2 linked regions of the Drosophila melanogaster genome follow. The protein of the gene in region 1 interacts with the protein of each later gene in a biochemical or structural test. Each region holds a gene or a part of one and is shown on either strand. Other genes may lie near its edges.

Evidence for each region. Proteins that work in one complex are often made in the same cells at the same time.
Region 2: of the proteins of Capa (region 1) and CapaR, one has a biochemical effect on the other in vitro, tested with the Drosophila melanogaster proteins (one study listed by BioGRID).

The regions. Positions count from the first base shown.
Region 1 is NT_033777.3:29,912,491-29,917,432, reverse strand, and holds Capa (capability), read left to right. Parts: upstream 1-3,086; 5' UTR 3,087-3,175; coding exon 3,176-3,239; intron 3,240-3,830; coding exon 3,831-3,992; intron 3,993-4,062; coding exon 4,063-4,292; 3' UTR 4,293-4,442; downstream 4,443-4,942. Other genes in the region: trp (transient receptor potential), read left to right, coding at 1-59, 121-478, 794-1,013, 1,225-1,390, 1,446-1,606, 1,666-1,820, 1,881-2,837; CG31036 (uncharacterized protein), read right to left, coding at 4,652-4,942. UniProt on the Drosophila melanogaster protein: CAP-1 and CAP-2, but not CAP-3 are ligands for the Capa receptor. CAP-1 and CAP-2 are probably components of the signal transduction pathway that leads to Malpighian tubule fluid secretion via the second messenger nitric oxide.
Region 2 is NT_037436.4:21,557,722-21,564,238, reverse strand, and holds CapaR (capability receptor), read left to right. Parts: upstream 1-2,057; 5' UTR 2,058-2,238; coding exon 2,239-2,448; intron 2,449-2,732; coding exon 2,733-2,883; intron 2,884-2,947; coding exon 2,948-3,038; intron 3,039-3,097; coding exon 3,098-3,297; intron 3,298-3,536; coding exon 3,537-3,710; intron 3,711-3,766; coding exon 3,767-3,841; intron 3,842-3,899; coding exon of another isoform or gene 3,900-3,904; coding exon 3,905-4,049; intron 4,050-4,103; coding exon 4,104-4,263; intron 4,264-4,342; coding exon 4,343-4,444; intron 4,445-4,932; coding exon 4,933-5,058; 3' UTR 5,059-5,265; downstream 5,266-6,517. Other genes in the region: CG7173 (uncharacterized protein), read left to right, coding at 6,479-6,517.

The DNA.
Region 1 (4,942 bases):
GATGTGGCTGACTTTGATGACCAGGAGAAGGCTTGTACCATCTGGCGAAGATTTTCCAAGTATATTACATTCATTTCTATGTACTTTATCATATTGGCATCCCATTTCAATTTACTTTAGCTTATTCGAAACATCACAATCGCTCTTTTGGGCCTCTTTTGGCCTGGTGGACCTGGTCTCCTTCGATCTGGCGGGAATCAAGAGCTTCACCCGCTTCTGGGCACTGCTAATGTTCGGCTCCTATTCGGTTATCAACATCATTGTGCTTCTCAACATGCTGATTGCCATGATGTCCAACTCCTACCAAATCATCTCGGAGCGAGCCGACACTGAGTGGAAGTTCGCCCGATCCCAGCTGTGGATGAGCTACTTCGAGGATGGCGGCACCATTCCACCGCCCTTCAACCTCTGTCCCAACATGAAGATGTTGAGGAAGACCCTGGGCCGAAAGCGACCGTCACGAACCAAGAGCTTCATGGTAAGTTACACTCAGAGAAATTCAATATTTCAGTTTAAGTATTATACAAATCCACACATATATATTAAATTCAGTGTACTCTACTTTTAAATGATATTTCTTATCATATTACTTTTAAATGTAAGTAACATTTCGAAAGTTCGATTTTTTCAAGTTGAATCACCTCACAGTGAGAGGCGGCTCACAATCAATACAAATCTTAAGCGAAATCATTTTCAATCAAGCCCATGCAGAGCTATCTGTGCGTCAAATTGACGTCTAATACATCCTTTCTGTGTCCTTCCACCCTCTAATGCTCCCTGTTCCAACTCCCAGCGAAAGTCCATGGAACGGGCACAGACGCTGCATGACAAAGTGATGAAGCTGCTGGTCAGGAGGTACATTACGGCGGAGCAGAGGCGGCGGGACGATTACGGCATTACCGAGGATGATATCATTGAGGTGCGCCAGGACATCAGCTCCTTGCGGTTCGAGTTGCTGGAGATTTTCACCAACAATAACTGGGATGTACCCGACATTGAGAAGAAGTCGCAGGGTAAGGGAAGCCTACCCACATCCAAATTGGCAACTTACACGTGTCTTAAGATAGAAGTAGCAGTATATATGAATAATTATTTACAATTAGCTTTTGAATACCTAATAAAGTTCACCCCATCTTGAATATTAATTTGAAATATGTTGTGCTAGAAGACTACAAAGCTAGAATGGATTTTAATGGATTTTATTCACTAAACTTACTTTTGAAGGAGTTGCTCGAACCACCAAGGGCAAGGTGATGGAACGTCGCATCCTTAAGGACTTCCAAATCGGCTTCGTCGAGAATCTGAAGCAGGAAATGAGCGAATCTGAGAGCGGACGAGATATATTCTCATCGCTGGCCAAGGTCATCGGCAGAAAGAAGACCCAGAAGGGGTAGGTCCACTTAAATCTGTAAGACGCTTTGAATAATGGTTATTATTCTCAACAGAGACAAGGATTGGAACGCCATTGCGAGGAAGAATACTTTCGCCTCCGATCCCATTGGCTCCAAGCGCTCCTCCATGCAACGTCATAGCCAGCGAAGCTTGAGGAGGAAGATCATCGAGCAGGCGAATGAGGGTCTTCAGATGAACCAGACCCAGTTGATTGGTAAATTAATAAAGATGTGCCCAATGTATGTATATTTCCATACCCTTGATCTCCTCCAGAATTCAATCCCAACTTGGGTGATGTGACGCGTGCCACAAGAGTGGCTTATGTCAAGTTCATGCGGAAGAAGATGGCTGCCGACGAGGTTTCCTTGGCCGATGACGAGGGTGCTCCAAATGGCGAAGGCGAAAAGAAGCCACTGGATGCCTCTGGGGTACGTTCCAATCAATATATGTATATGTATTCCCTGGCTAATATATAATCTCACTTGCAGTCTAAAAAGTCCATAACTAGTGGTGGAACTGGAGGAGGAGCTTCTATGTTGGCTGCAGCTGCTCTAAGAGCATCGGTTAAGAATGTGGATGAAAAATCCGGAGCCGATGGCAAGCCCGGCACGATGGGCAAGCCAACGGATGACAAGAAAGCAGGTGATGATAAGGATAAGCAGCAGCCTCCCAAGGACTCCAAGCCGTCAGCAGGTGGTCCCAAGCCCGGGGATCAGAAGCCAACTCCGGGTGCGGGAGCTCCAAAGCCCCAAGCAGCTGGCACTATCAGCAAGCCCGGTGAGTCACAAAAGAAGGACGCTCCGGCACCACCAACCAAACCTGGAGACACCAAGCCTGCTGCGCCGAAGCCTGGAGAATCCGCCAAGCCCGAGGCCGCTGCCAAAAAGGAGGAGTCTTCCAAGACCGAAGCTAGCAAGCCGGCAGCCACAAATGGAGCAGCCAAGAGCGCAGCTCCCTCCGCTCCTTCGGATGCCAAGCCGGATTCCAAACTGAAACCTGGAGCAGCTGGAGCACCAGAAGCAACTAAGGCAACCAATGGGGCCTCCAAGCCGGACGAAAAGAAGAGCGGTCCGGAGGAGCCAAAAAAGGCTGCAGGAGACTCCAAGCCAGGAGACGATGCCAAGGACAAGGATAAGAAACCCGGCGACGATAAGGACAAGAAACCTGGCGACGACAAAGACAAGAAACCTGCTGACAATAATGATAAGAAGCCAGCCGATGACAAGGACAAGAAGCCGGGAGACGATAAGGACAAGAAGCCGGGTGACGACAAGGACAAGAAGCCGAGCGATGATAAGGACAAGAAGCCTGCCGATGACAAGGACAAGAAGCCAGCAGCAGCTCCTCTGAAGCCGGCGATCAAGGTGGGTCAGAGCAGTGCCGCAGCTGGCGGAGAACGAGGCAAATCCACGGTCACAGGACGCATGATCTCCGGCTGGCTCTAAGCCGCGGAATCCACTTTCATAGCAATTAAATAGTTAAGTCCTTTGTTTGTGTGAATAATAAAAAAAAAGAATCTCAAGTACCACGTTTCTGCAACTTGTTGCTAAAGGCCACCTGTTGCCAGCAACATCTCATTTGCATCGCAGCAACATTCATCATCCGCCCCGTTGTTCCGATGGCAATTTGTTTGTCTGCCATCCATCCGCCTGCTTTTCTGGCCTATAAAAGAACGTGAACTTCGACCAGAGGAATCAGAAGAACCGTGACCGTTCCGAGGATAACATCAGACCGAAAAACATATTCGCCAAGCCAGTGTTTCGTCCTAAATAGTCTTGCAAATATGAAATCTATGTTGGTCCACATAGTTCTAGTGATTTTCATAATCGCCGAATTCAGTACAGCTGGTGAGTGGTGGAAACATTACAAAATCGCTTTTAAGGAAATCTTAAACAACAAACTAGTCTATCTCGACTAAGTGCTGCTGCTATCTTTTGTTAACTTTAAAGTGAAAATAGTTAAATGCTTTTTAATAATGTTCAATAATATTTTGCAGCACCTTTAAAAGAAAGAGGTAATGGTAAAAAGACCTTTCCAATTTTTCATTAAAATGTTCTACTTAGAAAAGTTGTTTATTATTATTTTATTAACTTTTTTTTTAACACTTAAAGCACTTCTTGAAGAGGCATGCAATTTAAGTCGTACACAGTGTCTTTTTATATCAAGCTCTTTAAATCAAAAAGGTGATTTCAAATCTAACCGCTGAAATAATAAAAGCCACTTAAGAAGAGTTAAATATCAAAGAAATAGTTGTGGCACTCTAAATCTATAATTCAAATTTAAAAAAGGTTTTAATCACAAAAAGCCTTAATAAAAATATTCAAGTCACTTGAGTTACTTTGGCGGTTAGGCTACGAAAATAGCTTATTCCACGGAGACTTAAGAACAATAAGATGAGAACATTTGAATAAATTGCAATCCCCAAACACTCCATTCAGAGACGGACCACGACAAGAACCGACGAGGTGCCAACATGGGGCTCTATGCCTTCCCGCGCGTTGGTCGCAGCGATCCCAGTCTGGCCAACAGTCTGCGCGACGGATTAGAGGCCGGAGTCCTCGACGGCATTTACGGAGATGCCTCCCAGGAGGATTACAATGGTAAGTCGTTGCGGCCGGATACGGTTGACTAATTGGTCCTAACGCCCCGGGGACGCATGTGCCATTCCAGAGGCTGATTTCCAAAAGAAAGCCAGTGGTCTGGTGGCCTTCCCACGCGTTGGCCGCGGTGACGCCGAGCTGAGGAAGTGGGCCCACCTTCTGGCTCTGCAACAGGTGCTGGACAAGCGCACGGGACCCAGCGCCTCCTCGGGATTGTGGTTCGGTCCCCGGCTGGGAAAGCGCAGTGTGGACGCCAAGTCGTTTGCGGACATCTCCAAGGGACAGAAGGAACTCAACTAGACACACTGACTCCCCCTTTTGACACTCTGAATGTCGTAGATACTTTTGTATATCAAAGAGAACGCTTCTAATTGAATATTGTAACGGGTATACAGCAAATATGTTTTTCGGTCAAATATATATTATGAATAAGGGCTGGTGAGAGCTTGTAATTAATGTCTTTGCGTGTCCTTCTTGCCATTTCAAGTATGTAAATATAATAAATCATATAAAGTAGCCTGCTCAAGTACCGCGTTACAACTGGGATTCCTTTTGGAGTATTAAGAAAAGTTTATTCTAAATGAATTGCAAACAGTTTTGGTTCGGACATGAATGATACGCCATTGCCATGACATGGCTAAGATCATCCGTTGTGGGCTCTACTCCTGCTGTTGCTTGAACTTTCGTAGCTCGGACTGTATGGCCTCGATAAGGGGTGCAGTTCCCGTTCTACTGCCCGATGGAGCAGTCGCATCCAATCGGGCCTCCATCCTCTGGAAGGGTCCTGCGCTCACTGGACGATTCAGGGTGGAGTGGGAGCTGTACATACTCCCACCTCCCCAGGCACTGTAAGTAGGCGACGGAGGTTGCGTCGAGTGCGCCGACTTGGACGTCTTCTCCGGCTGAGCGGTTGCCGGACGTTCAGCTAAGCTCTTGGGTTCCGCCGAAGG
Region 2 (6,517 bases), on another chromosome or scaffold:
TAATAGAACACTTCTTACTTATTCAACTCCATCTGCACTCAATAAATCCAATAAAAGCAAGTGGCTCGGTACAAAATACCATGAAAACTCCCAGATGTCCATACATAATTATATTCAACTTGAGGCGACACTTGACTTCTGTTGCGCACACACACATGAATATATGTGCCATCTTGTGGGTTTCGGCACCCAAGTAATTAGCAACACGTGGCCTGGCACTTCGTTCTGGGGTCACCGGGGGGCTTGGTCACCGCCTAAGTGTCCCTAATGACCAGATGCTGGACTGGATTGGGTGGCATGGGGGAGCTACTCCTGGGCTCTCCTGGGTCTAAGTAGGCAGATAACTGATTTACTGGATTTCTAGTTACCGTACTGCTTGCGAACTGGGAGGCTGCTCCAAATGATTATTATGATTATTACTATCTGTAGACAGTCGTTCCCCAAGTTGGCCTCCTAATTACACATGTGGCTTCCTGTTTGCGCATTTCGTCAAAATTAAATTCACGACTGAGCACACTTAGTTGAAAGTTTGCAAGTGCGTAAAATTCTATAGTTCGCTTCGCTAGGCCAAAATGTCTCGATGTGCCGAGTCGAGTTTGGCTCGGCGACATGTACGTAATAATGATGAATCTGTGGCCAACAGCCATGCAAACTTTTCTGGTTGCGAGTATTCGCATTTATGAGTAATCCATTGTTAGCCCCATTCAAACTGGCTTAATAAATCCGGCCAAGATGCTACAGTCGACACCGGCAACCACAATATAACTAAATACCTGTGGGCATGCCACTTCAAATTTAATTCGGTCTAAGTTATAATACTCAAGGCTTTAAGGTTGTGGGTGGCTTTTAAAGATTAGTTATTAATAGAGCATTGCACATGAATTTCCAGGTGCTCAGCTAATTGTTTGACTAATCAGCGCACAAAATGAACTGATAGCAATTAAGTAGTACATCGCTAAATGTACACAAGAATTAATTTAATGTGGTGTGTGCCAGGTGATAAGAAGGCATCTGTCCATTCAAACAATGACCCATGTTTTATTCAGGCTTCTTTTATTTTAAAGTGCCTGCCTATGCGAGGTAATAAAACCTTTGTGGGGGGGGGGGGGGGTTAGGTGTTGTCTTTCACCTTCTCCCCGAGTTGATAATTTATGCTTGTTGACATTTCAATTTAAGTTAAGAAGATTTTCGGACGCCGTCGTCATACAATAATTTAAATTTCCCACGCAGGCCGCCTTGAAAAGATAAAGCGCTTTTTGTTTCTCCAACAAGAACAAAAGGAACTTTAATGTTACAACATTGAAAGATATATAAAACAATTAGTGCACTATTCCTATTTCATATAGTAAAGGTTAGCAGAGGAAATTTTTAACTTAAACTTCGAAAACTTTCGAATTTCGTAGTGTTCGTTTCGTTTATTTAACATCTGATCTACTTATCTACTACTAATTAAAGATTAAATTTTTGTTGTTTTTGACGTAAACAAAAAAAAACCCAAGAAAGCGTCGTAATCGTGTTCCACGACTATCAGATACCTGGTGAGCTGTGAGCTAGAAATTTAAAAATTAACCATTTAAATAGTTAAATCAAAAATCATAAAAACTAGTGTTAAAATTGTGGGTGGGACAGCATATAGAGACGTCTTTTGGACAACGTTCTAATTGACACAGAGAAGGAGACACATCGAATTGCATTCTTAGTATCAACTTTCTAGCTTTTATACGGACATACGGGCAGACATACGGACACTTTGAGACCGATGCGGCTAGTGTGATCCTGATCAACTACTGTATAAGAAAAGTTTATGATAAACTCTTCCTACTAACTGTTACATACTGTTCAACGAATCTAGCATACCCTTCTGCCCAACGAGTTGCGGGTCTAATTACTCATTCTGCGGCATGAACATGCCATATCTATATATTTAACTTGGCCACATATATATATATATAAATGTACATGGTGTTTATACATATATGCCCATATGTATATGTATGTGTCTATTTACAATTTAGCCTAAACCATGCCTTCTTATCTTTTTAGCGGTAGACTGCGGACAGTAATCTGTGGCCATCTAAAAGATACAGTGGCTGTATTATACGATAGCGCATCGCAGATTTTTCGCTATCCATAAAAATTCAAACGCCAATTGTCGTGTGCCATGTGCTATTCTAAGTTCCGTGGCGGCCGTTAAAAATTTTACACGAAATAAACAAAAACATTCAGCTCTGGGCTAAAATGAATTCATCGACCGATCCGACATTTTCCGAGTTAAACGCAAGTTTCACAAATACCCCAGATACCCTATTCGCCACTAGTGTTAGTTCGGATCCATCCCATGGATTTGGAGAGGAGGACTATGCCTGCGGCACCTTTAACTGCTCTCCAAAAGAGTTTGTGGCCTTTGTGCTTGGACCACAGACCTTACCACTTTACAAGGCAGTTTTGGTAAGTCTTCTGGAAGTGGATTAATTTTTACCAGTTTTACTTGTAATCAAAGCTTAAAATCAAATAACTTTTCTTATTGCCTGTTGTGAGTCATACTCAATAGTCAACAAATATCATTCCTCATCCAAGATATTAAATTAAAACTTTTATACAGCCATTTATACTTGTACATACCTAGGCTAAATACACATGGATATTGGTGAATCGGCTCTGCAATTTGCTTGCTTTAATCTAAGGTTTTAAATTGATAAAGCGATCATTCTGTTTGCTTAAACCTTTTCCAGATAACAATTATTTTTGGTGGCATATTTATAACCGGGGTCGTTGGTAATCTCTTAGTGTGCATTGTGATTATTCGCCACTCGGCAATGCACACGGCGACCAATTACTATCTGTTCAGCCTAGCTGTTTCAGATCTGCTGTACCTACTATTTGGTAGGTTAACTAAATAAAATAGGAAAATATAGTTAACTGAATATGCTGTTTTAAACAAAACTAGGATTACCAACGGAAGTGTTTCTGTACTGGCATCAGTATCCGGATCTCTTCGGCATGCCATTCTGCAAAATACGCGCATTTATTTCAGAGGCGTTAGTATAACTACTTTTGACTACACGTTTAGCCATTTATAAACCCAGCTGTGTTTCAGATGCACCTATGTCTCCGTCTTTACCATCGTCGCATTTTCCATGGAGAGATTCCTGGCCATTTGCCATCCATTGCACCTGTATGCTATGGTTGGCTTCAAGCGCGCGATTCGGATAATAACAGCTCTTTGGATTGTTAGTTTTATAAGCGCCATTCCATTTGGACTGCTCTCGGATATTCAATACCTCAACTACCCATTAGGTATGAAACTATTTACATCATAAGTTCCCTAGCAGTACAAAAATGGTGCTTGGTGCTCGAGTCAGTAGTTGCTCAAATGAAGTAAATTGCTGAAACCTTATAAATCAATTGAAATGGACTTTAATTTTGCGAGCGACCTGAACTTCACCATCCAACAGCCATGAATGGTTGAAGTATATTCTTTGAATAATATCCAAATAACATGAACAGGTATAAATGGCATTCGTTGCGCTTTTCAGATCATTCCCGCATTGAGGAGTCGGCATTCTGTTCCATGTCGCCCAAGATTGTTAACGAAATTCCCGTGTTCGAAGTATCCTTTTGCATTTTCTTTGTCATTCCGATGATACTCATCATTTTGCTCTACGGACGAATGGGAGCCAAGATTCGATCTCGAACGAACCAAAAATTGGGCAAGTACCTGGCTTTTATTGACCCCAAAAGATCCGACTTCAGGGATGTATTCCAGGTGTTCAACAAGGCACCAACAACAGGGAAACGAGAAACTCCCAAATGAGAAAGAAGACGGTTATTCGCATGTTGGGTGAGCTTTTCCCAATCAATCCCAACAGAATCCATCAATAAAGTCCCCGTTTAATCAGTATAGCTGCTGTGGTGATTACGTTTTTCGTGTGCTGGTTCCCGTTCCACCTGCAAAGACTCATATTCCTGTATGCCAAGAACATGGATAACTATTTGGACATAAACGAGGCACTCTTCTCGATTGCGGGATTTGCGTACTACGTTTCATGGTAAATGAACCCAAATTCTATTAACTTATTTATCTGATTCAACTGGCTTGACAGCACCGTAAATCCAATAGTGTACAGTGTGATGTCACGTCGCTACAGGGTTGCGTTCAGGGAACTCCTCTGCGGAAAAGCCGTGGGCGCCTATTACAACAGCGGATTTGCGAGGGATCACTCCAGTTTCCGGGAAAGCTCCGCCTACGACCGCGTTCATTCTGTAAGTTATTAAGTTATTGAAAGCACATTTTAATCCAACCTAACCTAATTTGGTTATTCTATCTCAAATTACCCCATAGGTTCACGTCAGAGCCAGCCAGCATCCAAATAAGTTCGAAACGGACTCCTCATCTGCAAATAGGGTGCTGATAAAGAAAACCTACAGCCTCCCGCTACCAAAAGTAATTAAACAGACCAAAATCATAAATACTCATTGAAGTATAGCATAGTGTCCTAGAGTATGATATAGTAGTAAATTAGCATAAATTTAGTTATTACAGATGCGCAGATTCTTTTGAACTGGAAATCCCAGAGTTATTTCCAAACTTTTCTGTGTCGCCGGACTCTCGGAACTCAAAGATACCTGGGCGAATAAATCAAATTAAAAAGTTATTTCACTCTGCGTCAATTTGTGTATCCTTGTAATTCCCAATGCTGAAGTTGCTTAGTATTCCGGCTCCATCCCCGCTTAACTTGATTTCGCTTTGTTTACACAAATACCCATGGGAACATAACTTTTCCTTACATTGCCTGTTGAGCGAATTAAAGTGCTCGTATGTGATTGTTTGAGTTTGTGAAATAGTAAAATACAGGGCGAATAAATACTACATTACTTTTCACCTGCTTGTATTCCACGTGTGTATATTAACTTTGGACCTTGCACTTCCAGAATGCGGACTCCACGGTCCTGAGCACCACGGACATTGTCATCGTGCTGGAAAACAGCCACACAGTTTGCGAGGAGCCCAAAGTTGAGAACGATATTTGGATCGAGAACGAGGAGACTTGTATTTAAGCACGAGGCCATTTCAACATTTGTAGTTTAAGCCAAGGACGTCGAGAACAACCTTTTGTAGAACTAATTTAAGAGCTAAGAATTGCGTATTGGGAATTTAGTGATATGACTGGGAGTCTGTCTAAATTCAAATGTGCCCCCGCACAAAGGAGATTTATTTATTTCTACAACATCTCATAATATTACTAAATAAACCAACTGAGTTTTATTGCTACCGAGTTGTTTTTTTTTAATTGTGTTAGGTCCTTATAAATATTTATTTATACATAAAAAGGTAATCAGTTCCATTTTCACAAACTTACTGGCCACAAAAGAATCTGAGATATTTGAAACTTTATGGAATAACAGGGCTTTTATGAATGAATACATTAACGAACGATTACAGTTTCGAGCGATTTGCATAACAATGATCCAAATTATCGTTTTCATGGCTTGTTCTCTCGAAAAAGCAGTGCCAAATTGACGACAAAAGCGAAAGTTGTACCCATTATCCCAGTATCTATAATTAAAAACATTTTCACTTTTACATGAGGTAAATAACCCTGCATTCACAAGTCTCAGACATCCAGCCATCTGGCATTCTGTATAAGCAAATTAATCTCTGATGTTTGAGGAACTCCGAACCAATTACGCATAGGTCTCCAAAAGATCTTATCTCCGATTTACTTTCACCAGCACTCAAGATAGCCAGATTAATGAGCATACCTGGCCAATGGTTCTGTCGCATCTGGAGCGATGTCACGGTGCCCCGAGGCTCGAGTGCTCCATCTTCGTGTCGCGATATGATCTCTCGGGGATCTCTCGGTGGACACCACATGCACATCCAAATCCAAAAACATCGACATCGACATCGACATCCACATCCACATCCACAGCAGCTCCTCTATGGCAGCAGAGGCAGCATCTCAAAACTGGTTTAGTGGCCATTCCGACACTCCGAATTCCAGCACAGCTAGTTCAGAAACGTTCCATTTGCCACTCAGTTGCTTTCCAACCGACGGCACCGCCGAAATTCAAGAAGAAAGTAATCGGATGGATGTGGATGCTCGAGACCCTCCATTGATTAACGGTGCTGCGGCGTTGGAACCACAGGCTCTAGAAAAAGTGCCCATCTTAAGCTGATATGGCGAACCAAGTCGGTTTTAAATAGATATACATAGATAGCTGCATCTGGGCCCAGAGACGAGGCCACCACATTGTATTTGGCTGCAGTGCCGCGAGGCGTTCCATTTTTATTTAAACGACTGGCCGGATAACAAAGAAAGTGAGATCAAGTCTGCGCGATCGTGGATCGTCGAATGGAAAAGAAGCTTCGCATGTGTGCGTGGTTAATTCGAAAGAAACTTTTTTGCTTTTGGCCGCGGAACTGACAAATGTCAAATACCAATAGACCGTCGTGGAACGAAGACGAGCTTTAAAAATGACTCAGAGTCCGCTTAAGTTGGCCCCCATTTTGGAG